Linked DNA regions of Pelodiscus sinensis. The protein of the gene in region 4 interacts with the protein of the main gene of each other region in a pairwise test. Links are inferred from orthologs where the notes say so. Each region holds a gene or a part of one and is shown on either strand. Other genes may lie near its edges. The genes, in order: CBY2, EDARADD, ASL and NTAQ1.

Evidence for each region.
Region 1: the proteins of NTAQ1 (region 4) and CBY2 interact in binary tests that used the Homo sapiens proteins (3 or more experiments, as listed by UniProt). The two-hybrid records come from large-scale screens. The link is inferred for Pelodiscus sinensis from reciprocal best matches to the Homo sapiens genes NTAQ1 and CBY2.
Region 2: the proteins of NTAQ1 (region 4) and EDARADD interact in binary tests that used the Homo sapiens proteins (3 or more experiments, as listed by UniProt). The two-hybrid records come from large-scale screens. The link is inferred for Pelodiscus sinensis from reciprocal best matches to the Homo sapiens genes NTAQ1 and EDARADD.
Region 3: the proteins of NTAQ1 (region 4) and ASL interact in binary tests that used the Homo sapiens proteins (3 or more experiments, as listed by UniProt). The two-hybrid records come from large-scale screens. The link is inferred for Pelodiscus sinensis from reciprocal best matches to the Homo sapiens genes NTAQ1 and ASL.

Annotation. Positions count from the first base shown.
Region 1 is NC_134711.1:287,239,100-287,246,657, forward strand, and holds the start of CBY2 (protein chibby homolog 2), read left to right. Parts: upstream 1-4,549; 5' UTR 4,550-4,717; intron 4,718-6,959; exon of another isoform or gene 6,960-6,962; 5' UTR 6,963-7,102; coding exon 7,103-7,558.
Region 2 is NC_134713.1:127,271,709-127,278,775, reverse strand, and holds the start of EDARADD (ectodysplasin-A receptor-associated adapter protein), read right to left. Parts: upstream 3,022-7,067; 5' UTR 2,886-3,021; coding exon 2,855-2,885; intron 1-2,854. UniProt on the Homo sapiens protein: Adapter protein that interacts with EDAR DEATH domain and couples the receptor to EDA signaling pathway during morphogenesis of ectodermal organs. Mediates the activation of NF-kappa-B.
Region 3 is NC_134731.1:20,065,359-20,073,317, reverse strand, and holds the start of ASL (argininosuccinate lyase), read right to left. Parts: upstream 3,009-7,959; 5' UTR 2,922-3,008; intron 2,784-2,921; 5' UTR 2,746-2,783; coding exon 2,734-2,745; intron 1-2,733.
Region 4 is NC_134712.1:19,804,308-19,811,584, forward strand, and holds the start of NTAQ1 (protein N-terminal glutamine amidohydrolase), read right to left. Parts: upstream 3,010-7,277; 5' UTR 2,558-3,009; coding exon 2,475-2,557; intron 1,479-2,474; coding exon 1,379-1,478; exon of another isoform or gene 1,279-1,378; intron 477-1,278; coding exon 426-476; intron 1-425. Other genes in the region: ATAD2 (ATPase family AAA domain-containing protein 2), read left to right, coding at 5,583-5,804. UniProt on the Homo sapiens protein: Mediates the side-chain deamidation of N-terminal glutamine residues to glutamate, an important step in N-end rule pathway of protein degradation.

The DNA.
Region 1 (7,558 bases), on a different chromosome or scaffold from region 4:
GTTTTTAGTTCTAGATGTGTTAGTTTGAATTAGCTTAGTTCGAATTAACGTTGTAGTGTAGACGTACCCCCCTTCTTAATCTCTCTGCCAGTGTTAAGATCTCCATTTCACCAGGCTATTCCTCCTCAGTGTGGCAGAGGCTTTAAGAACAGACCTGGTTGTAACAGGGCCTTCATGGGACACCACTGAGAACACCAAATTCCAGTCATACTGCAGAAATAAAGCCAATACACCTCAAAATGTTAGTGGGCATTGTGCCAGAAAATATATCAAAGCAACTGCAAAGAGGGAAATTTCTGTTTCACCACACTGGCTAACAAGATGTCATAAAAGCAGTTCCTGAAGTATTCCTAGCTTTGTTTCACACCCCGAAACACTGAATTCAGAGATGAGTGGTTCTGTGCAACCAGCCTCATCAAAGAAAAGGTTCTTCTGAGCCTCTCTAAGGACCAGCCACACACCCAAGTTAATATACAATTCACATCTTACCCCAAAATTACACTGTGGCTAATCCTGTAGAAAGAAAGCATAGAATCAAATGAAATAAAATCTTAAATGATCCAACTTGTAACATAGAATCTGTATGGGTAGTAATTCCATGCTCAGATCATTTGAATATAGCAGTAAGGACATATTGCTGACCACCTGATTAGCATGGTGATAGTGACTGTGAAATGCTTAAGAAGATTGGAGAATCTATAAAAACAAAATACTCAGTAATAATGGAGGATTTCAATGTCCCCTTATTGACTGGGTACAGGTCACCTCAGGACAGGATGTAGAGACAGTTTCTTGACATCTTAAATGACTGTTTGTTAGAGTAGCTAGTCCTGGAACCCACAAGAGGAAAGACAACTCTTGATTTATTCCTAAGTGGATCATAGGATCTAGTCCAAGAGGTGAATATAGCTAGACTGCTTGGTAAAAATAGCGACCATAATTTACTTACATTGAACATCCTTGTGGTGAGGAAAACACTCCAGCAACCCGACACTGTACATTTTAATGTCAGAAAGGGGGCTAGATAAAAATGAGGAAGTTAGTAGAATAGAAATTAAAAGGTACGGTGCCAAAAGTGAAATCTCAGCAAGAAGCATGGAAACTTTTAAAAGATATCATAATAGAAACCCAACTTAAATATATACCCAAATTAAAAATTGTAGTATGATAACCAAAAAAATACTACCAGGGCTAAATTAAAGAAAGTAAAAGAAACAGTGAGAGATAAAAATGCATTCTTTAAAAAATGGAAGTTAAATCTTAGTGAGAGAAATAGAAAGGAACATAAACTCAGGCAAATGAAGTGTAGGAATATAAATAAATAGGAAGGCCAAAAAAGAATTTGAAGAACAGCTAGTCAAAGACTCAAAAAGTAATACAAAAAAAATTGTTAAGTACATCAGAAGCAGGAAGCCTGCTAAACAACCAGTGGAACCACTGGACAATCGAGATGATAACAGAGCACTCAAGCATGATAAAAATCATTACAGAGAAACTACATGAATTATTTGCATTGGTTTTCATAACTGAGGGTGTGAGAGAGATTTCCAAACCTGAGCCATTCCTTTTAGGTGGCAAATCTGAGGAACTGTTCCTTTAGAAAGGATTTTGGAACAAACTGATAAAATAACAGTAATAAGTCATCAGAACCAGATGATATTCACTCAAGAGTTCTAGAGGAACTCAAATATGAAATTGCAGAATTACTCACTGTGGTTTGTAACCTATCCTTTAAATCAGCTTCTGTGCCAAATGACAGGAGGATCACTACAGAGGTGATCCCAGCAATTAGAGTCCGATAAGTCTGACTTCAATACTGGGCAAACCAGTTGAAACTATAGTACAGAACAAAATTATCAGCTATATAGATGCACTTAATTTATACTTGGTAGGGAAAATTCAATATGTTTTTTGTAAAGGAAAATCATGCCTCACCAAGCTATTAGAATTCTTTCAGGGGCTCAACAAGCATGTGGATAAAGGGGATCCAGTGGATATAGTGTTCTTAGATTTTCAGAAAGCCTTTGACGAGGTCCCTCACCAAAGGCTCTTAAGCAGAATAGCTGCCATGGGACAAAAGGGAAGGTCCTTTCACAACAGCCTTCCAAGAAGAGCAATAGGGACAAAAAACCTTGTTTCAAAACTGAGCTTGATAAGTAGGGCTGTGAAGTGATTTAAAAAAATAGCTACAATTTTTTCAAGGCTAAATTCCAATAACATTGATGTACTTCAAGTCTGCAGTACCTTTTACACACTACACAAGCTTTCACCTCCAGTTCATATGCTACACATAACCCAGTGACAGCAAATGAAGCTTGCCAGCCATGGAAGAATATGCTTACAGAGTTTCAGAATGGGTACAAGCCCATGGATCAAAGTACAACAGCTTAACCAGTGCTATTGAAAAATGGGTAACTATGAACTACAGAGCACTTACCATGGAAAATGACTGAGGTCTAAGAGGTACTATCCAAATTGCATCTGCTAATTCGACATACCCTTGCCTTCTCCAGGAAACATTGAACCATGAATGTATGATCTATGTCACAATGAGAAGAGTACAAAGTTGGAGCTTCTGAAAAATGTACTAGCTGTTGCTTTGACTGGTGATCACTGGGCATCCTTGAGCAATCACAGCTCTCTTGGAATCCTAGCACACCTGGTTGATACTACCTGGACAGTGCAGCCATTTGCTTTAACAGTAACGCATTCTGAAGAGAAACATTATGCTGAAACATTCATAGGGCATTTTTTGGATGTTGTGAAAGGATGGGATATTCAAGAAAAGGTAACAACAATTAGTACTAACAGCGTGATCAAAACTGTAATTCATCTTGATTAATTTTTTAAATTGTGATTAATTTGTTTTGTGTTAATTGCTGACAGCCCTAATTTGTACACTGCTATCCCAATTCACTTGTGTCCTTTTCAGAGCAGAAGGAATTCCTTGATATCCCCTGTAACTCCTTCTGATCAATCAGTGTGCCAGGAACATAGACAAAATAGGCTACAAATACCTTGCTGTACCTCCCCCCAATTAACCAATTCTGGAGCTGATAAAAAGCCCTTTGAAGTGTGTTTTAGTTTTTCTATTGACTTAAGATCAGGTATGCTCAAGTCTTAAATTCTAGAGTAGCATATAGAAAGGTGATTCATTCACACCAGGTTGTATAGTTAGGAATAAAGGCAGGAAAATATGCAGAAAAATTAAGAAAAGAAAAACATAAAACACAACAAAACTTTAACCCTAGCAGTAATTATGAATTCAAAAGAATCAGGTTTTTCTCTTTTGATCAGTACTTGTTACTGGATTGTTCTTATCTTCACTAACTTTGGCTCTAGTATGAGCCCTAACGCTTTTCTGCTTTAGTATATTGTACACCCTTGATTCTCCAGGCATTGAGAAGGATCACCCAATTCAACGGTCATCTTTCCTAAAGCTCCCTACAACCAGTAAGTAAACTTCAACCACCCCCTTCTGTCAAAGGACAAACTCTCTTCAAGAAACTGATTTTCCTGCTCTTCACTGTAGAATACTTGAATAAGAAAGTAAACAGAATGCTCTTCAGGAAGTTGCCATAGTGATTAGTGATGCTTTAGTGTTGTCTGAGATTAAATAGAAATGGGAAGAAATTACAGTGAGAATTTGTATGCCAAAGTTTATCATCCTTCCATAATTCAAAAATTGCTGAACTGTTTACCTACAATTTTTCTAAAACATGAACAACCACATTAGGGCTAAGGCCAAGTTTTCACTTGGAAAGAAATTAACTGTAGTGTTTGCGACTTAGGAACACTCAAATTAGAAAACACTTAATTCTACTTTTAAAGATGCAGCAAATAAGAAATAATAAGAGAGAATTAAAAATGGAAAGATGTGGAAGTGCAAATAACTGCTTTGGATAATGGCATTGGGTGTAATGCCCAGATACTCTCAGCAGTCTATTTTCTTGTTAACAAGAATTGACAATGTCCTAGTTCTTTTAATTTGGAGTCAAAGAAAAACACCAACCTCAAAGTTAATTCTGGAAAATTACTCCAGGCCTCGTACTGGATAAAAGGGAGGTGTTTTGTTACCTTTAGTGTCAATTCAGTAGTGGTCTTAGTCTGAATATCGGGGATGGAGCAAATCATGTTCTATAAAAAGAAAGTACAGTACTGGGAAAATAATTCATTTTAACTGCCCCTAAGATCATACATGAGGAGAGAAGGCAAAAGAAGAACGTGGTTTGGGAAGGAGCTTGAGAATTCTCTACTTGATTTGTTATAAGGAAAAAGAAGTAACTTCTATTCACATGTGACTTAGGGATCTGAAAAAACCCCAGATAGTCTTCAGAGATTATAGTGGGAACAGTGGAGGCTAAGTCATGAGAATATAATAATAGGAAACCTTTGATGAGAAACACTTGAGAGCCTACTGAAGTTTAACAGGCCTGGGGAGCAGATGCCTTTCATTTACATCAATTACACTGTTACTCTGGATGTACTTAGATACTGTCTATGTCATAAAGGGGCTTTCTTGTTACATGCCTCAGTTTGAAAAGCATGGTCCTGTCTCTGGCCATGCTGAAAATCAGTTTTGAGCAGGGAGAGATCGAGGCAGCTTCTGGCATTTGGCCTCAGCATTGGATACACTACAGTTATAAACCAGCTGAGAGTTTGGAGAAGATAAAGACAAAAGAAACAGGACATCACTAGAATTATATTTTAAACAGAGGTGAGCAGATGTACCCACTATTACTGTAGAATACTAGTCAACTTGATTTTTAGCTAGCTTTGCTCATGTAATTGTAGCCCCAAACTGCATAAGGACTGTTTAATACAGATCTGAAAGAAAATGATAACTGAGATTAAGAGAAATTAAAAGGCTTCTGCAAGGGAGAAAAGATGGGTATGGTTCACCACTTGACATTATTCAGGTTTTACATTGATGTAATACCATGGAAATCAGTGTAAAACTGGAGTAACCCAGTAATAATTCAATCCCATGTTAAATGAGATTTGAAAAGAGATGGAGAATCAGTGAGACAGAGAGACACAGAGATAATAGCAGTAAATTTGACACGGACATTTAGTATATACAGAAGATTCATAGATTCTTAGATCCCAAAGCCAGAATGGACAACTGTAATAATCTAAGATGCCCGCCAGTATAACTCAGGCCATGGAATTTTCCCTAGATAATTCCTGGAATAGATCTTTTAGAAAAATATCCAATCTTGATTTAAAAAGCATCAGCAATGGGGAATCCACTCTGATCTTTGGTAATGTGTTTATGCTACGCTATCGAAAATTAGTCAGAATTCAACCCCCTATCTTTCCTCTGATATTGAGATCATCTTATTAAATGATCCATTAGACAAAAAGCCAAGACTCAACTCTTAGCTGATACACACAAGGGGTCAAATAAGAAAGCTGAGGCCTATACAAAATTAAGAAAAAGAAATAATGTATAGAAATGAAACATGCATTAGTCACAGATTTAGAATCAAGCATTTATTAGAAAAAAGATTAAACAACCTTAGAAGTCAAAGAAATTCCTGTAATTTATGTGGTAACTGTTGATAGTCTTAGTGAAGGAGAAACCTATGGGGGGAAAAGGAGATAAAAGAGATTATGTGAAAGATGCTAAATTATTGGAATCTTTTCATTCCCAGATATCATCACAAGCACTTGACTATATTGCTTCAGTTAACAGTAATGTAAAGTCTAGTAGAATTATGTTAGAATTAGCTGAGGAAAAGGTTTTAAAGCCTACAATAATATCTGGCCCTAAAAAGGGTTTAACTTACCCTAGACATAAATAAAAATTATGAAAGGTTGTGCTGAGAATTTGCTTGCAATAGCCAGACATTACTAATCCCACAGCTCCGGCTTGACCACAGTGATGCTCTGGGCTCATTCTCAAAAGACAAGCTTGTTCTGCTGCTGACAGAGGCAATTATTCTGATCTCAGTTCCCACTGGAAGCAGCAATACAGACCACTGAAAAGTTAAAAATGAGCATGTTTTCTTTTTCTTGAGTGCAAAGAGAACTCAGTGTGCTACGTGTGATTTTTAGAACTTTCTGGAAAAGGCCAACATTTTTAAACATTTTGGATGTTTAAAATTAGGTTCCTAAATCCACATGCTGGCACCTAAATATAGGTGATCCATGTTTTCAGAGGTGCTGAGCAGCCCAAGCACTCACTGTGTGCAGTGGCATTTGTGAGAGCAGAACAATTCTGAAAACGAGGCCATTTATATTAAGATGCCTATGTAGGGTTTTACCCATTTCTAGACTCCCACTTTTGAAAATCTTGACAACGTTCTTTGTGAAATCTGTATCATTCAGAGCTCTACTGTGAAATGAAAGGAAAAGTAATGTGGTGAAGAAACCTTAAGCTGGGCAGAATGAGTTCTTGCTACAGATATAAAATCACACTTTATTGACATAAACCTACACTGTGACTTACAAACTTATAATGAGAGATGTTCCCTGCTCTAAAGGGCTCATAAGATAAGACAGAGTTCATCAAGAGGAGGTACACAGGATCTGGAGAGTAGAAGAAGATGAGGTTTACTAGTGAATTTTGAAGGTGCCATGAGAGGGACTGCTTGGATTGGCAGTAGAAGAGACAACCTTTTATAAGATGCAAAGGAGAGACTGAGAGAAGGAGAGGAAAGGAGAAAGACTAAGCAGACTGGGAGGAATGCACCAACAGAGGAGCTTCAGGAGAAAATGAGGATAGAGGTGTTGGATGAATCTGTATTGTACATAAAAAAGCTAGTAGATATAGGTTGTTTTAGTTTAGCTAATGTCTGTAAAATCATTTTCATCCAACATATCCATTCAATCGAAGGCTTATCACAGAATAGACTTTGGAAAATAGATTTATTTGCTGGTTTCTTGTCCAATTGAGTTTAGTTCTGTCTTTGAACTTCATAACTAATCCTATTTATTTGTGTTCCCTATTCCAGCAGTTCTGAGTGAGTGTCTCTGCAGACCCCTCACTAGCTACTCATCACCAAGAACAGCAATTGCCTGCATAACTTCTGAAGAGAGTCTTTTCACACAGACTTCTTCACTTTGCTAAGTCATCCCCACATTTGCTTTTGATCCAATGAATCACTTTATGCATCAGGCAGAGCCTGACATGGATTATATTGCCCCTCGTGTCAAGCTAAGTGACGAGACATTTGTCTTTGTAGATGGCAAATGGGTGAGTGAGACCTACAATCAGCCACCCTTTGCTTACCAACAGAAACATTTCAGCAAGAAGATGCAGAAAGACTGGACTCTCTGGGAGGAGAACAAAGCACTCTGGGAGGAGAACAAGGCCCTTCGGATTGAAAACAAAGCCCTCCGGGAGGAGAACAAAGCTCTCCAGTGCCTACGGACACAGAACAAAGCCATCCAGGTTATTTATGATGACACCCTCCAGCAGGTTCTCCAGAAGGAGCACAATCCTTTCCCAGTCTTCCAAGAAAGGAACATAGGCTTCCAAGAGAACAAGGCCCTTCAGGTTGTTCAGGAAAAGAATATGGCTTTACAGATACTCCACAAGGAGAACAAAGCT
Region 2 (7,067 bases), on a different chromosome or scaffold from region 4:
TCCCTTCTGGGTGCGCAGAGCTGCCCCACCCTGCCCAAGGGTCCAGCAATTCTGTCTGCCTCCCAGCTTTGCTCAGAGAGTTTTTCTGGCTGGTAGAACTGGCATAGAAATCTACACCACCCATGCTGGAAATATAAGGAATGTATTGGGTGCTGTTATGGTCATGGCAATAGCTTTATTGCATCTGCTTAGAGTCTCCACCAGGATGAGAAGAGTAGCTGGAGTCGACAGGAGAGCAGCCCCATGCTGACCTTACCGCATAGAAGCCACTGCGGTAAGTACGTTGACTTCAGCTATGCTATTTGTGTAGTTGAAGTTGTGTAGGATAGATCAATGCAGGGAGGAGGGAAGTGTAGTGTAGACTAAGCCAGAGAATCAGTTCCATGATGTCTTTCTGACTCACTGACTCCTTAGTTTTAAATATAATCTGAAAACATACCTCCTTCCTTTCTTCCTGCTAATATTTTTTTTTGTTAAACTTGTAGTATTTAACAACGAATTAAGCAATTAAAATTAGTGTGGTCACAAAATACTGTATGAGTCATATTGCACAGCTGGAGAAGTAAGAGTCAAAGGAGAGGAAAGGAAGTGACATATCTCCAAGTACTTTTCACTGAAATCCCCATAACTTTAAAAGTTTCAAAGATATTAAGGTAAGGAAGGCCTATAGATCATCTAGTCTAACCTTCTGTATAACACAGACTATAGAATTTCTCCAAGTTACTCCTGCACTGAGCCCAATAGCTTGTGTAATTTTGGTATCTTGAAATCCTACGGTCTCTGTGTTGGAGAGAGCTCAAGTTTTGTTCACCTACACTACTTCAATGTCTACACTAGCAGGTAGTAAATGTTACACTGTCTTAGCATAATTATCAAATTAAACTGCACTGGTGTTGTAAGCCCCACTTAGTTACACTGAAACAATCTCAGTGTAATTAGACTAGTACAAATAGACAAGCCTGGTGATATATTACCCTAATCAACAATGAGGCTGTGATCAGGCAAAGACCATAATAAACACAATGGAGCATTATGTACAATTATACTACAGTGCATTATATTCTGCCTCTCGATTAACCTGTTTACTTTTGGTAGTACATCTCTCAGTTTGTTACAAATGGTTTAAACTCTGCCACTGACTGGACAGAAGTTGTTGAAGCTGAAATAGTCAAACTCAACAGCCTATTTTAAAGGTCAGTGCTCATCAACTTTGAAAATGTTAACCTTCACCACTTCCTCAAACTTTGGTTTGACTAGGACAGAGGTTCTCAAACTGTAGGCCAGGACCCCAAAATGGGTTGCAACCCCCTTTGACTGGGGTTTCTAGAACTAGCTTAGACTTGCTGGGACCCAGGGCCAAATCCCAAGCCCCACACTGCCCAGGACCAAAGCCAAAAGCTTTCAATCCTAGGTAGCAGGTCTCAAGTTACAAGCCCCCCTGCCTGGAGATGAAGCCCTTGAGCTTCTGCTTTGCTCCCCCTCACCCCACCCCACCCTCATGGTGGAGCTCAGGCTTTGGCCCCCTCACCTGGGACAGTGAGGCTTAGGCAGGCTCAGGATTTAGTCCCTCCTCCTGGGGTCCTAAAGTAGTTTTTCTTGTCAGTAAGTGGTTGTGGTGAATGATGTTTGAGAACCCCTTGACTAGAATAAAACAGATTTGTGTGTGTGGGGGGGGGGGAGTTAGCACATATTAGCTAGCACAAACTAGTCTATATTATAACTCTAGAACAGACAAGGTGTATTTCAGCATATGCTAAATTCCACCAGCTCAGAACAAGCTAAACTGTTAGCTAGCACAATTGGGGGGGGGGGGGGGACGACTCCCAGCCCTTCTTGTCCAGACAAGGCCAGGAGTCCTTGGTTAACTCCCAGAAAACTGATAATATAGTTTAAAATGTTAATACTGCAAGATCTAGAATCTGCAAAAGTTCCCTGAGGCAGACAACTTTTTGGACCTCTTTGTAACAGCCAGCCTGTGTTGTACCTTTCAGGGGTGCTGCCAGGTTTAATTTATTCTTGTCTGAGCATATGAATCACCAAACACCTTCAGGTCCTCAGAGACTATGCAAATGCAAAGAATGATTTTTAATATTCTTCCAAAGCTCTCCTTCATGCACAGTGCTGGGAGAGGAGGAGGGCTTGGGGCAGCCTACCTCAAAAACAAGGCTGCTTGCTGAGCTTAGTTTTTCCTTTTGTTTAAGCTAGACAAACTATGTAACAGTTTAAAGACTAACAAGATGGTTTAATAGGCGATGAGCTTCCGTGGGTCTGGCCCAGGAAAGCTCATCACCTATTAAACCATCTTGTTCGTCTTTAAAGTGCTACATAGTTTTTCCTTTTGTTTTAGCAAGATCAGACTAACACGGCTCCCTCCCTATTACTATTTGTCTAGCTTGAGAGTTTTAATAGGCAAATAGTGATAGAAATGTAGCCGTGTTAGTCTGGGGTAGCTGAAGCAAAATGCAGGACAATGTAGCACTTTGAAGACGAACAAGATGGTTTAGTTTCCTTCGGGAGAAAATCTGCGAGCACTGATCCCATCCCCAGAGTGGTGGGGAGAGCCCCTCGCACCGATCAGCTGTGCGCAGAGAACCCAGCCAGGCGCACGAAGCAAACACACAGGGCCAGACGCAGAGCCCCCTCTCCACTCGCATCTCAAGAGAGACAGAAAAGCCGCCCGGCCCTGAGCAGGGTCAGGAGGCTCTGACCAGCCTAGCCGCCCTCCCGCAGCTCCCCACAGACTCCAGATTCCCTCCTTCTCCTCCAGCCCTGCCCCGGCTGCACAGAGCTGCCTCTCCGCCCTGGCGGCGCGCACACGCCCCCAGACTCCCAGCCGCCGCTCGGGGCACTTTACCTGCAGGCAGAGGGTCCTGGAGAGAAGCCATCGGGTGGGTGCCGAGGGGAGACTGCAGCCGTGCCCAGCGAAGACTGAGGCTGAGCGTGTGTGTGGAGCTGGAAAATCCCCTCTAGGCCGGCCGGGCAACCCCCACCCTAAATCCGAGCGGGCGCTACTGCCTCCCTCTTTCTTCTCCACTTCCTGGTTGGGTGTTGAGCAAGTCGCGGCTCTCTCCCTGGGGAGCGGAAGCTGCAGGTAGAGCTGAGGCTGAAAGCTAGCAGAGGAGTGTGAAAGAGAGAGAGAGAGAGAGAGAGAGAGAGCGGTGTCTCCCCTGCCCCCGGTTCTGGGCCGTCCCTTGGAGAGGCTTTTCCCCTGCCACCAACTCTCATTCAGCCTTCATCTAAACCCATGCGGATTTTATTTGATTTTCAGGTGCATGAGTTTGCTCTTCCTCTATAATGAGCGACAATGTTCGTTCTCCCCTATAGATAGTTGGGTTTTCTTTAGATGTATACATATCAAAATTAGATTCAGGAGAAGTAAGTGTGTGTGTGTGTGTGTGTGTGTGTGTGTGAGAGAGAGAGAGAGTCTCTGTGTACAAAAGTATGCATGTTATAAAAACGGACATATGTGTGTGTATAAAAAATACATGTGAGCATTTAATATTCCAACTCATTTTTCTCGGTTATGTGAAGATAATGAATAAATGTATAGTTGCTTTTTTTAAAAAGCATAATGTATCTGCGTTAATTTGACTATCTATTTTCCAAATGTGCGTCTCTCTGTGTGTCCATCTGTGATTCTGTTTGTTCAAAAACTCCTCCTACATGGCAAGACCACCAAATTTGGTAAGCAGCTTCCTTTTATCTTAACTTAAAGCAAGGGTGAGGTTTGGTTGTGTCAGGACCATAGGCGTGTGCACGGGGTGTGCCCAGGCACACCCTAATGTCTGGGACCAGCCAGCAGCTACTGGAGGAAGAGGGGGATTTGTGACGAAGCGCCACAGCTCCTCACTTTAAATTCCCCACAGCCATCTAAGTGGGCACTGTGGAGCAGAGAGAGCGCATACGTGGCGTCCTCAAACGCCGTGCAACAGGTGAGAGGGGAAACGCTGGGAACTTTAAAACCCAGTGGCCCAGCTCCAAAAGCAGCTGGGGCCCGACTACAGATGGTGGCCTGAGCTATTTTTGCAGCCCAGCCCCCGCCCTACAGCACCATGCTGCGCTCTGGGGGTGCCCCCGCCCATCCCGGCAGCACCACATGGCGCCCATCCCGGCAGCACCCAGCCCTGCTGCACCACGCAGCACCCCAGGGGTGCCCCACCCCGGCCCTGCAGCTTGGGCTGGCTCTGACTCCAGCCCTGCAAGCTGTAAGGCAAAAGCTGAAGGTAAGGCGGAGGGGGAGGGAATAAGAGAGAGGGGTGGGAGAGGAAGGGGCTTTTGTGGTGGGGGAGGGTGGAGGAGGAAGAAAGGGGAAGAGGTGGAAGGGGCTTGTACGGAGGGGGTGGAGAGGGGGAAGAAAGGGGAAGGCACCAAAGGGACAGGGTAGAGGAGACACAAATGCTAGGGGGAAGTGGAGACAATGAGGAAAAGGGCAGGAGGGGAGGTGTCAGTGGAAGGGGGTACAGGGTGATTCTGGAAGAGGAGAGGGTAAGGGCATTGGGGATTGGAGGGGGAGGTGCTGGGAGAAGGCTTGACAGAAGGGGAGGGCATGAGGAAGGTGGGGTTGGAGCAAGTCATATGTGAGGGCACAGGGGCATGAGGGGAATGGGGCAGATGGTGGTGAGGGGATGGGCATCAGGAAAAAAGGGCAAAGGGGGCAGGGGCAGTGAGGGAAGGGGGAGTCACCAGGAGGGCGCAGGAGTAAAGGAAGGTTCAGGTGCCAGGGAATTCTGGGGGTGAAGCAGAAGGGCAGACATCTGCAGGGGAGGGACCAGCACCAGAGGAGAGAGGCAGGGCAGGTGTGTAGAGGGAGTTGTTAGGAGAGGGGATGAGGAGGGGTAGCTCACATGATCAGAGTGGGGCTACTGGAATAGTGGGCATAGGGGGGAGAGAAGGGCTAGTGGAGAGAGGCAGGTCTCAGGAAGGCTGAGGGCAGTGAGAAGGGCAGGAGTCAGGACAGCAGAGGAGGGTGAGGGGTTGTGGGGGGAGCAGGCACCAGTGGAGTTGATGGAGCAAGGGGAGGAGACATGGCAGCAGAGGGAAAAGGTAGAGGTTTATACGATATTTATTAATAACTTGGGTGCCACAATGGCACATCCAAACAAGCCACAGGAACTCAGTACTGGTGCACAACACAAAATTCATTCTGCTCATGGGAGGAAATTCTTAGAGAGAACACTTCCCCCAGCCTCTCCACCTCTGTATTAATGTCACACACATTGGGTTAATGCAATTGCAGGATAGTTGCATAGGGGAGGATTGGGGGGCCAAACTAATCCCTATTGGTAGGAGGATGGTGGGAAAAGTCCTTGTGGGGGGGGGGAGGAGTCACATAACACTTTTTACTTTTGGTCATGTGCCCATCTTGCCCGGAGAGGGTTACCTCCAGAGGCGTGGCTAATGGGGGTCAGGGGCGTGGTTAACAGGGGTCAGGGGTGTGGCTAATGGGGGGGGGGGTCAAAGTACATTTTTTAAAAAATTCTTTGGGTGCACACCCTAATGAAATGTGCTGTGCACGCCTATGGTCAGGACGATGGGGTATGCCTGGAATTCGACTGTTTCTAATCAAATGGAAAGGGAGCAGGAGCAAAGTGACCAGCTGGGGGTGGCACCTGGTGGCTTCCACTGCCCAGGCCAGCCTTGGGGAGACTAGGGTTGCCAAGTGTCCGGTTTTTGCCTGGATAGTCCGGTAATTGCATCTTCTGTCTGGTGAAAAAACAAAACAGAAAATACAGGTATTTTCTGTTTTTCTCGGAAGAAAGGCCAGCAGGGACATTTTTCCCCTGCTGTGTCTGACAGGTCCTTTTTTTTTTTTTTTTTTTTTCTTTTTCCCCCTCAAAGTTTGGTCCCCCAGTGGTCTTTTTTGGTTTGGTTTGGTTTGGTTTGGTTTGGTTTGGTTTGGTTTGGTTTGGTTTTCCCGCTCAACCAATCTTTCCCCCGCAATGTTCAGGATTTTTTCTGAAAGTATCTGGCAACCCTAGGGGAGAATCCAGCTGGACACTGCAGGCTCTGCCAGCCCCATGGAGTCTTTGTCCAGCCAGTGCACCCACTGGCCAGCTTTGGGGAGATGGCAGCTGTGTAGCAAGGCCCCCCCAATCCCTCACCTGACTCCTGTAACCCCCAGCCCTGCACCGAGCCCTCCCCTGCTTTCACTCCTGCTCCTCACACCCCACACACAGCCCCGGACCTGAGCCTCTCCTAGAGTACCCGAGCAATGCTAGGTAACTGTGCTAGTATGATATACAGGCAGTCCCCGGGTTACATACAAGATAGGGACTGTAGGTTTGTTCTTAAGTTGAATTTGTATGTAAGTCAGAACTGGTACATATTGTAGGGGAAACTCTAGCCAAACATTTCTCCAGAGCTCAGTTTTATTCTCCCACACCTCACTTCCCTCAGTCCTTTATTCTCAAGCTGAGGTGTCTACTGAGAAAAGCCGCTCCGCGTCTCCCTGGTCTGCTGGGGGGGGGGCACTAGCTTCGCGTCTCCCTGGTCTGCTGTGGGGAAGCAGCTAGTGCGGGGTTGCCTCACCCCATTTGTAAGTAGGGATCCGATGTAAGTCGGATCCATGTAACCTGGGGACTGCCTGTATATTCCGGCACATAAAACAATATAACACTGCAGATAGGAACTGTAATAAATATATTACACCACACTGTACGATCTAAATATATTCCCTGATCCCTCAAATAAAGTTATTTACAGTGGTAAGTTATCGGTGTAATTTCTGCTTCATAATCATCTGATGAAAAGGGTTTTACCCATGAAAGCTCATGATACTATATATTTTTGTTAGTCTCTGAGGTACCACAGGATTGCTTGTTGTTTTTAAAGTTACAAACACAGATACCCCTTTTAGACTTTTTACCATTCAAGACACTGCACGAAGTGGAAACCCATCAGTTTCATGAAGAAACCTGCATAGATTCAAACAGACATCATCTTCTTTTCCAAGTGCAAGTAGATGAATTTTGGCTTGAAAGTGAACAATCCATTACAATCAACATACTACACAAACTACAATGAGAAATTGTGCCACACGCTCTCAAAGAAACTGAGGAACCATCTAA
Region 3 (7,959 bases), on a different chromosome or scaffold from region 4:
TTCTGGATTTACAGGTGAGTCAAATGGGTCAAAATTTACCCTGGTGTAAATCCATTGCATTAATAAATTTAACATTGGAGCATGGCATTACACTAGTCTTTCTGGGCACCCTTCTGAAGTGAACTTCAGTTCACTCAAATGAATGAACCCGTGTGTGACCTATTTCACCATGCATTTGCACAAACAGCATTGCTTCATCAGCAAATAGCAACATATCATTTGATCCCATGAAACGCATTCCTGAAATCCTTACATAGGCAAAACTCCCACTGACGTCAAAGAGGGGGTCTGGTCTGCTGCTTGCGTAAAAACTCCATGGTGTGTCCTAACAATTAAAAAAATAATTTTCCAAAGCAGCTATTCGCACTCAAGAGGAGTGATTCGGAAGCATTTATACGAAGTGCCTGTAGTAGAGTTTATGGTGTTAAATTGATACTTTTGCCCATCTAATTTATTTCTCATACCCCTTTTGCTTCCTTTCAAGCATCACAGCCATCTTCTCTGGCAGCAGACTGGATGGGGTCCCAGTTTCAAGTTAATCAGTGCCATTATTTTATCAGCTAGTGGGGTCATTATTGAGCAAGTCTTTCCCCAAGGACTGTCTCCACATATCTACCAATCCCTGATGCACAAACATTGTGCAGTCCCTATGGAGGCAAAACACCCAGTAAAGTCCCAGGGAGTTTTGCCTTGTAAGGATGATAGAAATAGGGCCTATAGTTGGAGATTTTTAAAACATTATTTTCATACAATCATTTTTAATTCTAAATTTTGTCAGCCAAATTCTGCACCACTTCAGCTTCACTACCACCCAGATCAGGGCTACTCAACTTTGGAAGCCCTGGGGGCCACAATGATAGTCACAGCATATGACAAGGGCAAGGCCGCAGCTTAAGTCTGGTTGCATATACAGGCAGTCCCCGGGTTACGTACAAGATAGGGACTGTAGGTTTGTTCTTAAGTTGAATCTGTATGTAAGTCGGAACTGGTACATATTGTAGGGGAAACTCTAGCCAAACATTTCTCCAGAGCTCAGTTTTATTCTCCCACACCTCACTTCCCTCAGTCCTTTATTCTCAAGCTGAGGTGTCTGCTGAGAAAAGCCGCTCCGCGTCTCCCTGGTCTGCTGGGGGGATGCAGCTAGTGCGGGGTTGCCTTACCCTGTTTGTAAGTAGGGATCCGATGTAAGTCGGATCCATGTAACCCGGGGACTGCCTGTACATGCAAATAGTTTTTCACACAATGCCCTGGTGCTCCAGACACCACCTCCCTGGGGGCTAGAAACTTCAACACCTTGTACCCATCTGTTCCAGCTAGCCCGTCCACTTGCATCTTTCAATGCTCACTCTGCCTAGGAGACACCTTGCCGTTGTGGACTGTGTCTCAGTGGAGACCAAGTTCAAAGGATCCCACCCTCAAGCCGCATGTTGAGCCCTGCATAAAGCCAAACCGCATCCCAGGCCACAAAAACAGGCTGTGGGCCGTATGAGGCCCACATCTTGACCTAGATTTTGCCATCACACTGCTTTCTGCTCCTGGCTCAAACGAATGGCATTTTGTCCATCAAACCAAGACAATTACACAACCTGATCTTAGAAAACCTTTGGAGTAGACACAATTTTTCCTCATTAAATTTTGTACTAAGGACAAGTGAAGGGGAATGATATCTACATGTTTTGTTTCAAGTTCTAGTTATATATATTCAGCCATAAAACAAGACAATTGGGCTGCGTCCAGATTGGCATGATTTTCCGGAAATGCTTTTAATGGAAAAGTTTTCTGTTAAAAGCATTTTTGGAACAGAGTGTCTAGATTGGCACGGACGCTTTTCCGCAAAAGCACTTTTTGCGGAAAAGCGTCCATGCCAATCTAGACGCACTTTTCCGCAAAAAAAGCCCTGATCGCCATTTTTGCGATCAGGGCTTTTTTGCGGAAAACGAATCTGAGCTGTCTACAGTGGCCCTTTTGCGCAAAAGCTTTGCGCAAAAGGAACTTTTGCCTGAACGGGAGCAGAATAGTATTTCCGCAAGAAGCACTGATTTCTTACAGTAGGAAGTCAGTGCTTTTGCAGAAATTCAAGCGGCCAGTGTAGACAGCTGGCAAGTTTTTCCGGAAAAACTGGCCAGTCTAGACACAGCCTTGAAGTAACCAAATCCCTATTGCAAGCAATTTAAAAAAAAGTCTAGCTATGAATGTGCAAACAGTTTTCCTCATCTATCTTTTAAAGAGCACAGAATTTCATAATAGATTTTATACGGGCTTCTCCCCTAGTCAAAATTCACTGTCTTACCCCTTTCTTACATTGGGCCAAGGATGGAAGAAGCAAGTCTAGCACATTCTGACAGGTAGGGCTGCTTTTCAGATCAGGATAGCAATTACGCACAATGGCAGATAAGGCCAAGAAGCCCTTGTGGGCAATTTTTGAACGTGGAAAGCACTTGCCGCTGCGGGAGCCGGTGTGATTTGCTAACAGAGACATGCCTGGACGGGGCAGCAGGTGCCCAGAGGGGCATCTTGGGCAAGCGACTCTACCAGCGGGTGCCCAAAGAGCCATACCCAGGAGGGCAGCGCCCACCTCCCTACAGGAGTCTTGCTATGGGAAGAAACCCCCCCCCACCCCACTACATGGAGGGCTGCAAGGTTTTTGACTCCAGCTCCCTCCAGCTGGATGTTTCTGCCTGGGGAGGGTCCGCCCTGGTCTCTGCGGGGGACGCCACAGTGCGGGCTGCTCACCTCGGATGCCATGTCGGACGGGCTCTCGGCACCTCAGCGGCGCGCGCCCCCTGCAAGACAGAAAGAGGCGGGTTGGGCCCCTCGGGGGAACACCCCGCGCTGCTGGGGGGCCCCGCACAGCGCGCGAGGCAGCTGCAGCCCCAGGGCGCGGCGCGCGCTCTGCACCGGGCGAGCCCCGCGCTGCTCACCTGCCTGGCCGCTCGCCCCCGCTCCGCTCGCCCCGGCTGCTTTTCACGCCGCCGGCCGCTCCACGCCTCCCCTGGGCGGGGCTGAACCCGCCTCGCCTGGAAATACCCCGGAGGTTCCCTCCCCGCTCCGCCCGCCCTGCTTCCTGGCCGCTGCTCCACCGGCTGCATCACGGAGGCCTGCAGCTGGGTGCTCCGAGCGGCCCCCCCGGCCCGGCCCGTTTGTAGGGAGGCTGCTCCATGGGGCGGGGAGAGACTCCCTCGTTGTGTCCCTCCCGCGCACCGTGTGACTTGTAAGGCTCGTGATTCCTGCTGGGGGCAAGCGCGGGGTTCTCTGGGGTCTTCCCCAGTGCCAGGTGGGCGAGGAATCTTTTCCTGCTTGCCAGAGAGACGGGCTTTTCAGCGTGTGGCTGGAAATCTTGCCTCTCTCATGTTGCCCTTGTCTCCTCGCTGTCCTGGACCCAACAGGGCGCAGTGCCCCTGCTTCTTTCAGTGACAGGCGTTTGGGCTCTCAGCTCATTATTTAGCATATTTAAAATGTTTCTGCATTAACCATTGCACGAGCTGGAGATATATCCCTGCAAATTGCATTACATTCTGTACCTATTGGTAGAGATCAATCCACAACTACCCGCTCCTGTCTACTGGCCTGACAAGCAGGACTGATATGGGATCTAATAGGTCTTTTCCAGCGGTGTGTTCACAATCTCATTAATTCCAGTTGCTGGGGATATTGCAGGGATAATGTCAAGGTCCCAATTCTCTGTTTGCCTAGCATTATTCTTGATGAGTGGCTCTTTTTAGCCTTTAGACTTTTAGGAGGACTGAGGCATAACCTAGCAGTACTTGGATGCTGAAACACCAGTACTGTTGCTGGCATGTACCTCTGTAAAAATGCAGCAGGGTCCTGGATGCTAACTTTTACATTTTTCTTTGAAGTACATTTTCAAGGAACTCCTCCCCACAAAAGATCTGTTACATGGTTCTAAATATTAAATAATGCACCAGCCAAGAGACTGCTTTCTCCTCCTTCCTTCTCCAGACAAATGTTTCTCTTTTTTCATTCTGTTTCTTTTGTTTTCTGTTTCATTCAATCAGCTATTTGAGACTTTTTTATGATGTACATTAGTTACATCACAATGTAATATCTCATTACCAGAGCTTGACAAATTATAGAAAACCCTACTCGCCAGAAAAAAAAGGGACTCGCCACCCCCACCGCGCAGACGTGCACCACCCAGAGAATGGGACGACCAGGACAGCATGTTTGCTTCTGTGATGAGGCGGGGCCGCTCCACAGTGGTGAGGACGACCCACCCTGCACTTCAACGGCACCGACCCCCGTGCTGCACGGGGAGCGCGGCGTTCTGACAGCTGTCTGCGCTGCTTGCTCCCGTGCTGCCGCCCAGCTGAGCGGCATGCAGGGGGGCCGAGTCCTGGGACGGGAGCTGGAAGCAGGGGCGGGGTCGCACGCGGGCTTAGGGCGGGGCCAGAGTGTGCGTGCGTCGACGTCAGGGGGAGAGGCGCCGGCGCAAGAAAGCACCACATTCGAAAGGAGGGCAGAGGAGAGCAGGAGGGAGGCGACGGAGGAGAGTAACGGAGGGAGAGGGGCGAACAGAGGAGTGAGCTAGAAGACGGCGGTGGGTGGAGGAGTGAAGGGTAAGAGCAGAGGAGAGAGGAGGGGGATGGGAGTCGGAGGAGGTCAGAGGAGTGAGATGGGCTGTGTCTACACTGGCATGAATTTCCGGAACTGCTTAAAACGGAATACTATTCCGTTTTCAGTTTTTCCGGAAAAGGAAAGCCCTTTTTCCGGAAAAGCATCTGTGGCCAATGTAGACGCGCTTTTCCGGAAAAGACTACGGGGCTGTCTACACTGGCCCTTTTCCGGAACAGTGTTCCGGAATAAGGACTTCTGCCCGAGCGGGAGCAGAATAGTTTTTCCGGAATAGCGGCTGATTTTGTACAGTAGAGCATCGTTGCTTTTCCGGAAATTCAAGGGCCAGTGTAGACACCTCGCAGCTTATTCCAGAAAAGCGGCTGATTTTCCGGAATAAGTGGCCCAGTGTAGAGACAGCAGGGAGTGGAGCAGAGAGCAGAGCGTGGAGGCAGAGGACATGAAAGGAGAAGTGGTGGAAGGAAGCAGCCCAGAGCGGAGACACTAAGGAGCCCCATCCTGGGCTGCTTCCTACCTCCATTTCTCCTTTCACGTCCTCTGCTCCCACGCTCTGCTCTCTGCTCCACTCCCCGTCTCCCTCCTGCCTTCTCTGACCTCCTCTGACTCCCGTCCCCTCCGCTCTCACCCTTCACTCCGTCCACCACCATCTTCTAGCTCACTCCTTTGTTCTCCCCTCTTCCTCCGTTACTCTCCTCCATCCCCTCTGCCTTCCTCCGCTGCTCTCCTTTTGAATGCGGCGCTCTCTTGTGCCGGCACCTCTCCCCCTGACGTCAGGGACACACCCACACTCTGGCCCCACCCTACGCCCGCGTGCGGCCACGCCCCTGCTTCCAGCTCCCATCCCAGGACTCAACCCCCGCTGCATGCCGCTCAGCTGGGCGGCCATACGGGAGCAAGCGGCGCAGACTGCTGTCACAACACCGTACTCCCCGTGCAGCATGGGGGTCGCCCCGTCACAGCTCACCAGCTGCCAAAATCTACTCACCATGGGCAAGTGGATTTGTCGAGCCCTGCTCATTACATTGTAAAGACTTTGAAATGACTCTAGAAATAGCATAAACTAATCTTTAGGGAAATCTGTCATCAAATTCCCAGCAGATTATTTTTTCTCATCTCTTTTCTTGTGATTTTGTTCTTTTTTCTTTTCATTTCCCCTCTGAATATTTGGGATCTCTCTGTTTTCTTTATTGGTCCTTTCCTGTTGTCTAGCCTCTCCTTCCATTCATCCCCTCTTGTCTCCATCCCACTATTTATTCCCTTTTCCCAATTCTCTCCTTTCCCCCTCTCCTCTCCTCCTGTTCTCACTTTAGGGAGGTATTTTCCTTATGTTGAGTTTGGGAATGAGGGGTTGCTGTTGTGTTTGCAAAACAGCCAGTACACGATTTGCTTATAACCAAGATGAAGTGTGTAAAGAAGACATATTTGTGTGTCCATACCTGTTGCACAACCCCAAGACCAGTTATGTAGAATGTACACAATCCTTGTAAGGATAGTGTCTCTCTGCAAAATTAAGATGTGGGGAAGGACTTTCCCAAAGTGAAAGATGGACTGGTGCTCATTCCCCTCATATGGGAACCAGATACTGGTTATCTATTGATTTAATACTATATATATATATATATATAAAATTTATTTTCCATGAGTTATCAAGGGACTGGACCTGCTCCCATTTAAGTCAATATTAAAACTCCATGGACATCTATTGGGTCAGGATTGACGCCAAATTGTTGTTAGTCACCATATGCATTTTATCTGAATTTATTTTATGTTTTTTTCCCACTTACATGCCCTAGCACAAAACCCAGGTGATCTAGTTTTGCAAGTAAAGTGCCTTTGGTGAATGATAAAAAATAATCCTTTATTTATCTCATGCTCACAGGTATTTCCATGCATCCATCACTGGGGTCCTGGTGCCACTAGCAGTGATGTTTTTTTCTAGTTTATTACATTCATATAGGATGTCTCTAGGATGTGATTAATCCTCTGTCCTACTTTTCCTGGATGGGACAGCTGAATAATAGCCCTTTTCATAGTGATAAACAAGGAAACTTCAGAAAACAAAAAGGAAATTGGAGGTCAAAACAGATGTCGTGGAGATTGGGACAGGCAATGAGCAAGGATTCCTAAGAGTGCCTTTGAGCTAAGGAGTAGAGACTGCAGGGGGCAGTGGAGAAATAGAACCGCAAAACGGGGATGATCAGTCACTAAGAATTGTTATTTTTCATGCTGTTTTGTAGTTTCTTTCACTTACATTTTATGCTTTCACTCTTTTACTTGTTCCAACGACACTGAAACATTTAGGGAAAACTTCCTAACTGTCAGGGTGGTTAAAAACTGGAATAAATTACCTATGAGGGTTGTGGAATCTCCATCATTGGAGATATTTAAGAGCAGGTTAGACAGACATCTGTTAGGGACGATCTAAATGGTACCTTGGTCCTTCTGTGAGTGCAGGGGACTGGACATGATGACCTCTCAAGGTCGATGATCCTATGATTTAAAATAATTAAATATGAGAAAATTAATTGAATTAAATGGAAGGTACTTCTTTGGTCCTGATGGAATGGCAGTGTCTGAGCATTGCACTCTGTATCCTTCACTGGGGATAGAGAGTGGAGCATGACCCTTTATTGATGGTTTTGTGCTACACCCTTTTCTAAACTTATATATCAGATACACAGGCAGTCCATCCAGCAGCATGGACACATTTAACATTATTTCACTGCATTTCATTGCACCAACATTCTAGACATTTGAACCTTAACTGCCCTTGCTTTTGTACATTCAGGTCACAAATTTACTATTTCTTGACTATAGCTTTTTGGCTGACGAATGTTTTTTCTCGTAAGGTATGTCTACACAGCAGAGCAAAAGTCAAATTAAGATACCCAACTTCAGCCATGTCAATCGCGTAACTGAAGTTGAAATAGTTTAATTTGGCTTTGCTGCAGTCTACACAACAGGAAGTCGAAGGAAGAACACTCTTACTTCGACTTTCCTTATTCCTTGTAAAATGAGGGTTACAGGAGTTGGAGTAAGAAATCCTCCATCTTAACATTATTTCAAAATAATAGCTTGGTGAATACACGTGTATTTTGTTATTCCGAAATAATGCTGCTCTGTAGATGTACCTATAGGCTACGTCTAGACTACATCCCTTTTTCATAAAAGGGATGTAAATTAGACATATCGCAATTGCTAATGCAGCGGGGATTTAAATCTCCCCCACTACATTAGCATAAAAATGGCTGCCGCTTTTTTTCCGCACGGAGGTTTGTCGGAAAAAAGCGCCAGTCTAGACCCTGATCTTGCGGAAAATAAAGCCTTTTCCGAAAGATCCCTTATCCCTCTATGAAATAAGGGATA
Region 4 (7,277 bases):
CTTACTTTGCTTAAGAGCAGGCAAAGGGAGTTGTTGCCCTGGGCTCAGTAATTCCCTTTAAATTGGCACGCCAGGTGGCTCTGAAGGCAGAGGAGGGGGGCACTGAGAGCTGGCTTCTCAAGCCCCACCCCTTCTGTCCAAGACCCATCCCTTCCCAGAGTGCACAGCCACTGCTCTCACCCCCCTTGCCCAGAGGCCCTCAGAAGCTTTCAGCATCCCTGCTTAAGAGATTTTGGTGAAGGACCTTGTCAAAGACTTTCTGAAGGTTCTGGTACACTACATACACTGGATCACCCTCATTTGCTGACACCTTCAAAGAATTCTAACAGGTTGGTGAAGTCTGATTATTTTTATTGCTTAACATGTTGGTAGTACTAGAACAATTAAACATGGTACAAGAATCTATATAGACCAGAATGTCTTACCCAAATCACAGGTTCATCTCCACGTCCTGATTGTTGCTTCCACAGTGGTATCTGCAAATTACCAGTTAGAAGCTAATGTTAAGTAAGCTTTAAAAAAAAAAATCTACAATTTGTCTAATATGAGATGATAAAATTAGTGTTTATCTGTGATGCAACACGTAAGCTTTTATCAGATTGTTTTTTAACTTTTGAGCTTAAACTTTGGGCATTGTTTTGGATCACACAGACCATTCAGTCTCCTCCGCTGACTGATAGTAATAAAGGAATCCCTGCTATCCCATTCTCAGGGAGGTGATACTTCTCCAGATGTCCACCCCAAGGGACAGACTACCATACATGACTAAAAGACGTGCCTTTTAGGTTCTTTTCAATATCTGTGTGACCAGGGGGCCCAGGTGAGCTACAGGGGTCTGGCCACATTTGTGCCTGGATTAGGGTTACCAGAGTGTTTCAGAAAAATACCGGACATACATGATCTCACATTGGGGATGAGGGACCAGTTACAGGAAGCAGGGCTGACCAGGAGGGAGAGAAGGGGAAACCGGCCAGCGGGAAGCGGGGCTGGCCCGGGTGCACGGAGATCCCGGGGTGCTGCCCGTCCCGCACACGGTCTTGGCAGGGTGCACAGGTAAGTCCGGCCCTAGGGATTCCATCCCAACCTGGCACCACCCACCTCCTCTCTACTGTGTAGTTGCATACTGCCTGGCCAATAGACACACTCACACAGTGTGAGTGTGTCTACGAGCCAGGCAGTATGCAACTATGTATTGTTACTCATGATAATAATAAAACTTACTTAATTAGAAAATACCAGACATTTATATGTCCGGTATTTTCTCAATTTGTTTCCTAGACAGAAAGCTCAAAACTGGACACATGGCAAACCTAGCCTGGATCCATCTTTCATTCACAGTAAATCGGTTTTGATTCAATAAGGCAACTTATCAACTTACCATCCTTCTTTCATTGGATATGAAAACAGCAAAAAATTCTTCTAAAGGATATTGATCATAGCTTCTGATGTATTCACAAAGTTTCCAAACATTTTCCTCACTGTAAAAATACAAGGTTTTTTTTGTCCCCAGTTCTTGTTTTATTTCTGATTTATACAATAAAAACAGCATGGCTGTTATAACTTTCCCACTTTTGGATTCATTTTTCTGTTGAAGACTTTTTCCCAGCTCCTTTCACACATGTATTTTTAAGCTCTAAAATGTAGGTTCAAGCCTTTAAAAAGGTTTTACACAAATAATTCATAGGTTTTTTTGGCTCTACTATTAGACAGCAAGAAGCATAGCTTGGTTTACTCTGTCATGACATGCTTTAATACCAAATGATTGGTATAGTTAGTGTTTTGTCTTTTCCTTACTGTTTGTGGCAAAGTAGTTTTGATTAAAGTGTCAACAAATTAGGTTAAATAAACATTTTACCTGGAAAGATACATGTCATCAAGTGTATGAAACAACTTGACAAATATAAAATTTTAAATAGACTTCCATCTGATCTTAGTGACATATTAATTTTATATATATATATATATATATAATAGTTTAGCACAATTCTAAAGTAATAATCGTGTATATAACATTTAATACTACTATTAATAGTTTTGCACAATTCTAAATAAACTGTCACTGATAATAGGACAGGATGCACAAATTATTAATGGAACCATAAATTATGTTCTGATAAGCTATTCAGAAAGCCATACAATGATCTTGTATATTGTTATTTGTCAGTAAATCATCCTCCAATCATCTTGGTTAACCAGTACTATGAGTGTCCTAACCAATGCATCCTTTTTTCCTAGAATATCAAATGCTATCATAAGAAAAATAATATTCTATCTCCAGGCTGTTATGACCTCATTTTCTTCTGCTTTGCCTCCTGCAAGAGTATGTACAAGTTTTCTAAAGAAAAATGGAAATATGGGAGATTCCAATGGAAAACAATGACTTTCAGTACATCCACTCTTTGTGCATTAATTCCTTGACTAATGAAAAAGAAGATTTACCCAGCCACATTTCTTACATACCTATTACTACTTACCAATAGCAGCTGGTATACACACAAGCATGCCGAGCAGGGACAGCTGGCTGGTAACCTGCAGCTCCTACTTCTGTCTGTTCCATATGCGACCCTCATCCAGAGATATGGGAGTGCTGGGTTTAATAGGCTAATAGGCTCATACACCTCCCCCAGCTGTATAAAGCACCGGCTCGCTCAGGAAGTGTTTATGCCGGAAGTTAGTGAGTTACAAGCAATTTCTTCCCCCAAGGAAATCCGGATGTTAGTGCTTTCCTATGACTAGGAGCTCAGGCAGGCAGGAGGGAGGGGTTTTATCTTGGATACGAAACAAGATAAGTTTCTAATTGCTCTATTAAACCCCACCATGTTACATCAAAGGCAGGAGAGAAGGGGTCAAGTTGAATCAGAAGGGTGGGAAAAGGGAATTTTTTAACCCAGAATAGGTTGCAAAATTTGAGTCAGGATGAGCAAAAGGGACGTTTTAGCTTAATGAGATGATCCAGAGGCTGCCAAAACAAAGGAGAGGGGGTTTGAGTGGGGAGGTGAGATCCTGAACTTACAATGGAAGGGAGGGAGAGACCAGAACAAGCCTTGACAAGAGGGCAGGGCTGGGCTGGGCTAGCTGATGAAAAGGGAAGATTAATTAAATCTGCACCTGTTAGTGAGGGAAAGGCTGAACATGAGCCACAGGAAAATGCTGGGGATGAAAAGGAAACCTGTTCTCAAAGTGCATAGAAAACATCCCCAGAGAAGTATTTTTTGTCTTAAATGTACAAGGCCAAACAGCTATTTCAAAAGCTTCAGAGGGGTAGCAGAGTTTGTAACAGGAAAACCTTAAAAAACAACAAATAGTTCAGTAGCACCTTAAAGACTAAGAAAATATGTAGATGGTACATGTAGATGTCGCTTTTGTGGGCACAACCCACTTCTTCAGATGACCAGAGTGTTGGAAATTCATATCCAAGAATAAATAAGGGAGGGGGGAGGAGAAGAAAAAAAAGGAGGGGCAGAAAAAATGTGACAGTGAGTAGATAAGCTTTAGAGCAGTGGTCCCCAACCTGTGGAGGTTGCCGGGCGCCAGGGGGCGTGGCAGTTCGCCCGCTGGGCGCCAGGGGGCGGGGATGGGGGCGGGGTCCCCCCATAGCCATGCGCCCGAGGCCGGAGCCCCCTCCCCCCCAAGCTCCGTGTGCCCGGGGCCGGCGCCGCCCCCCTCCAAGCGCCCGGGGCCGGGGCCAGCGCCCCCCCTCCAAGCGCCGCGCGCCCGGGGCCGGCGCTCCCTCCTCCCCCCCCCCAAGCGCCCGGGGCCGGCGCTCACCCCCCATCCCCGCCCCCCGGGGCCGGCGCTCACCCCCCATCCCCGCCCCCTGGGGCCGGCGCTCACCATGCGCCTGGAGCCGGCTCCGGCACTGTGCGTGCACCACGTGCCCAGGGCCAGGCCAGCCCCGAGCACGTGGCGGGCGCACACGAATGCCCCCGCGGGCGCCATGGTGGGGACCACGGCTTTAGAGAGATAGCCAAGTTAGTCTGTAACAGGAAAGACTTAAAAATCAAGAAATAGTCTAGTAGCACTTTACAGACTAAAGCTATTTCAAGTTCAATATATCCATTTCTAGTTGTCTTTTTGTTAAATTAGTGGAAAGAGATCAAGCCCATTTAAAGTCCTGAAAACCTGTGGAAACTTGCATACCCTGGCAAAACCAGTGGCTGCACAAGGGACTTTAATCTCCTGGCCATACAACACACAAAACAGCATACTTTTATACAGTGTTTTTACAGGTAGCACCACACAAAGTCAGGAGGTTTAATAATGTAAAATACTTTTGATATTAAAAAGCTGTATTCGTTGTTGTGCAAAAGTGCTGTACATTTGTCTAGTAGCTATTATGTCTTACCCCATAGTTTGGCAATGGGCAGGACTACCTTCAGGAGGGACTGTGTAGAAAGTTTGACATTTTTTCCCCTAGCACCACAAAACATTTCTTAATTTATTTCCAGGCCGTGACACTTCTGTAAAATGGTGTCACATCAAAACTACAGCAAGTTCTCAATTTTTTATGACTGAGATCACATCAGCATTTTGGCTGTTTGGCTATGAGCTTTGTAGCACACAACTTACTTTTTATTGAAGTGTGCTAAACTTTGCATGATTTTAAACTTTTTGAGAGAATGAAATCTTAATATTCTAAACTTCTATTTGGCTTATTGCACTGGCAGTGGGAAGCAAAATAGAGGAAGTGGGGGCAGGACTTTGCTTAAACAGTTTATTTTGGAGTCAAAATGTGATTATTGCACTCCTGTGATGGAATATGCTAGCTACTAGAGTTATGTCCCCAAGATGGGCCTAGGATAGCCAAAGATCAATATTTTCTAAAATAAGGAATTTACAGATGGGCTGCTTACTAAATCAATGCCCAAACCTCCCCCAATACGAGTTTTGGGGTGTCCACTATTTTTAAAAATCAAACCATAATCCAGGTGTTAAAAAGTGGAATGGGAGTCTAACTTTAGGTCCTTGTTTTTTTAAAAAAAGAGCTTGTTGCTACAAATATTAAAAAGTTGGACTGCAGATGTCACAGGTCCTAGCAGATCACACAAAAGCCAGGTCCTTTACCGTAGGCTCTTGTAAGGACTGCAGCTGCCCCACGCCGGGCTCTTGCTCTGTGATTGAGGAACAGCTGTCTGAAACACGGGCAGTGTCCCTTTAAGGGACGGGCATTTGACTCAGTCCCATTTCAGCGGGAAACACTGGGGCGGGCTGCTGAGCGCCTTTCTTGTAGCCAATCAGAGCCGGGTAAAACAGTCTTCCAACTTTGCACGCGCCAAAAATTCCAAAAGGACGCATCACCTATGCGTGTCTCTCCGCCTCCCTTCGGGAACTAACCTACAGGGAGAAAGAGTCCTAAGAGACAACCGGACGGAACGGTCCGCCTCGGGCTGGCCGAAAAGTCAACGAAGGAGTGTAAGAGCGGGTGCCGTATTTCACTAGTGGCGCTACTCTGCTCTAATGAGAGGTAGAGGCGGAGGGATACGACGGGAGGGCGGTGACGCGGCAGCCCGCGGTTTGTGGCGCCAGAATTCGGAGAGAAGCCGCCGCCCCCTTCTTCAGCCGGGGACGCGCCAGCTCCGGCCATGGTGATGCTACGGAGCAGCACGGGCAGCGGCAGTCCGCTCCAGTCTGCCGCGTCCCGGGGCAGCCAGGCGTCCCTGTACGACCTGATGGACTCGAGTGCCGAGTTCCTGTCCTTGACCCCCGCGCCGCGGAGCCGCAGGATGGGCACCCGCTCGGCCACAGCCGCCTCCGGCAGCAAGTGCGGCAGAGGAGCCAGGAGAGCGCCGTCAGCAGCGGGCAACGTGAGTACAGGGCAGCCTGGCTGTGCAGATCGAGGCGGATGCCGCCTGGAGCGCACGAGAACCCCACCGCCGCACTGGCCTCCGTGGTGAGGGGCGCTGCCAGTGCGCACTAGGTGGGGGAGGGGGAGCTGAGCTCTCCTGGCCGCGGGCGAGAGGGGTGACCCCACCCCGCCTGCAAAAAAATAGAGGCGTGGCCTGCTAAACTCCACCCCCTGGTGCTGGGCGGAGTAGGGAGCCAGCCAGAGTGAGGGCTGAGGGAGCTTGTGGTGGCACGTCGAACTCGTCTTCCTTATTCTGGGGTTGTCTCTGCCCCTGGCTCCTTCTGGCTTTTGGTAACCGGAGTAACCGCGAAGCTGTGGTCGCTCCCCAAGGGCTGGCTCCAGAGCCTCCTGCTCACCTACTGTTTAAGGGTCAGAGCCTGGCCCTTAGGGTTAAAATTGTGTGGCTTTAAGTGCGGGGATAAGTAACATAGGTGAGACAGCGCTTTACACTCTTTCTGATGTAACTTGGTGAGGTCATAACTCTCTTACTGTGGTTGGCTCTGTTTATCTCCTTGCGGCCACTGTTTTGTTTGATTTCAGGATAGTTAATGTTACCTCAGGAGATAACTCATCTTTTTAAAAGCTGAGGCCAAGGCTACAACGATGAAATATTACCGAGGTGGATTGTGCAGATTAACACATAATAAAGCTTAAAATTTTGTTAACTGCAGTCATTAGAGTTCAGTTAACACTTTAAACAAATCAGTGAGGGCAGATCATGTCTTTACACGATGATGGAACCTGCTGAAGCATAAAATTGTAGAGTGCTAGAAAGGAGCAATGAAAGTCGTTTGGTTAGAAAGTTAAACCAGGTCAAAATGCTCCACACAGATCTGTCCCTCTGTTAACTCCTCTGGAATCCATTAAATGTTTCCATATCCACAGTAAAACCATGGGGAATGCCACTCTATAACTTCAACTTTGTAGGAAAATAATTCGTATATGAAAGTCAAATGTTCAAATCTATTTAACTACTAAATGACAGTCTGGACATTTCTGGTCTACGTGACATTCCAACTGAAGGTGTATGTATGTACATGTCACTTCTGAAATGCAAAACAACATGTTTTTCAGTTAATTTCACAGTAGTCATAAAGCTTCATAGTTGCATAATTTAAATTTTAACAGACCTAAATTTTAAACTTTGCCCAGCAGAGTAAGTATGAGATCTGTGCCAAAAGGAACTTTTGGGAGTTAAGTGTTTTAAAGGGATCAGGGTCTGTGGGCATGGGGGCATGTGAAGTCTCCTGGCCTGTAACCATTTCAGAAATTTGTGAAATGGCCCTCCTTCAAAAATTATTGTCCACCTCTATTCTAAAATGTTCTTCCTGGGGAGTAGTCCTAAACCTGGGCTCTGAATAAAGATCTGGGCTGCCTCCTGTTTCTATGGGGATGTAGACTACTCCACTATGAATACTTTCTGAGTTGGAGG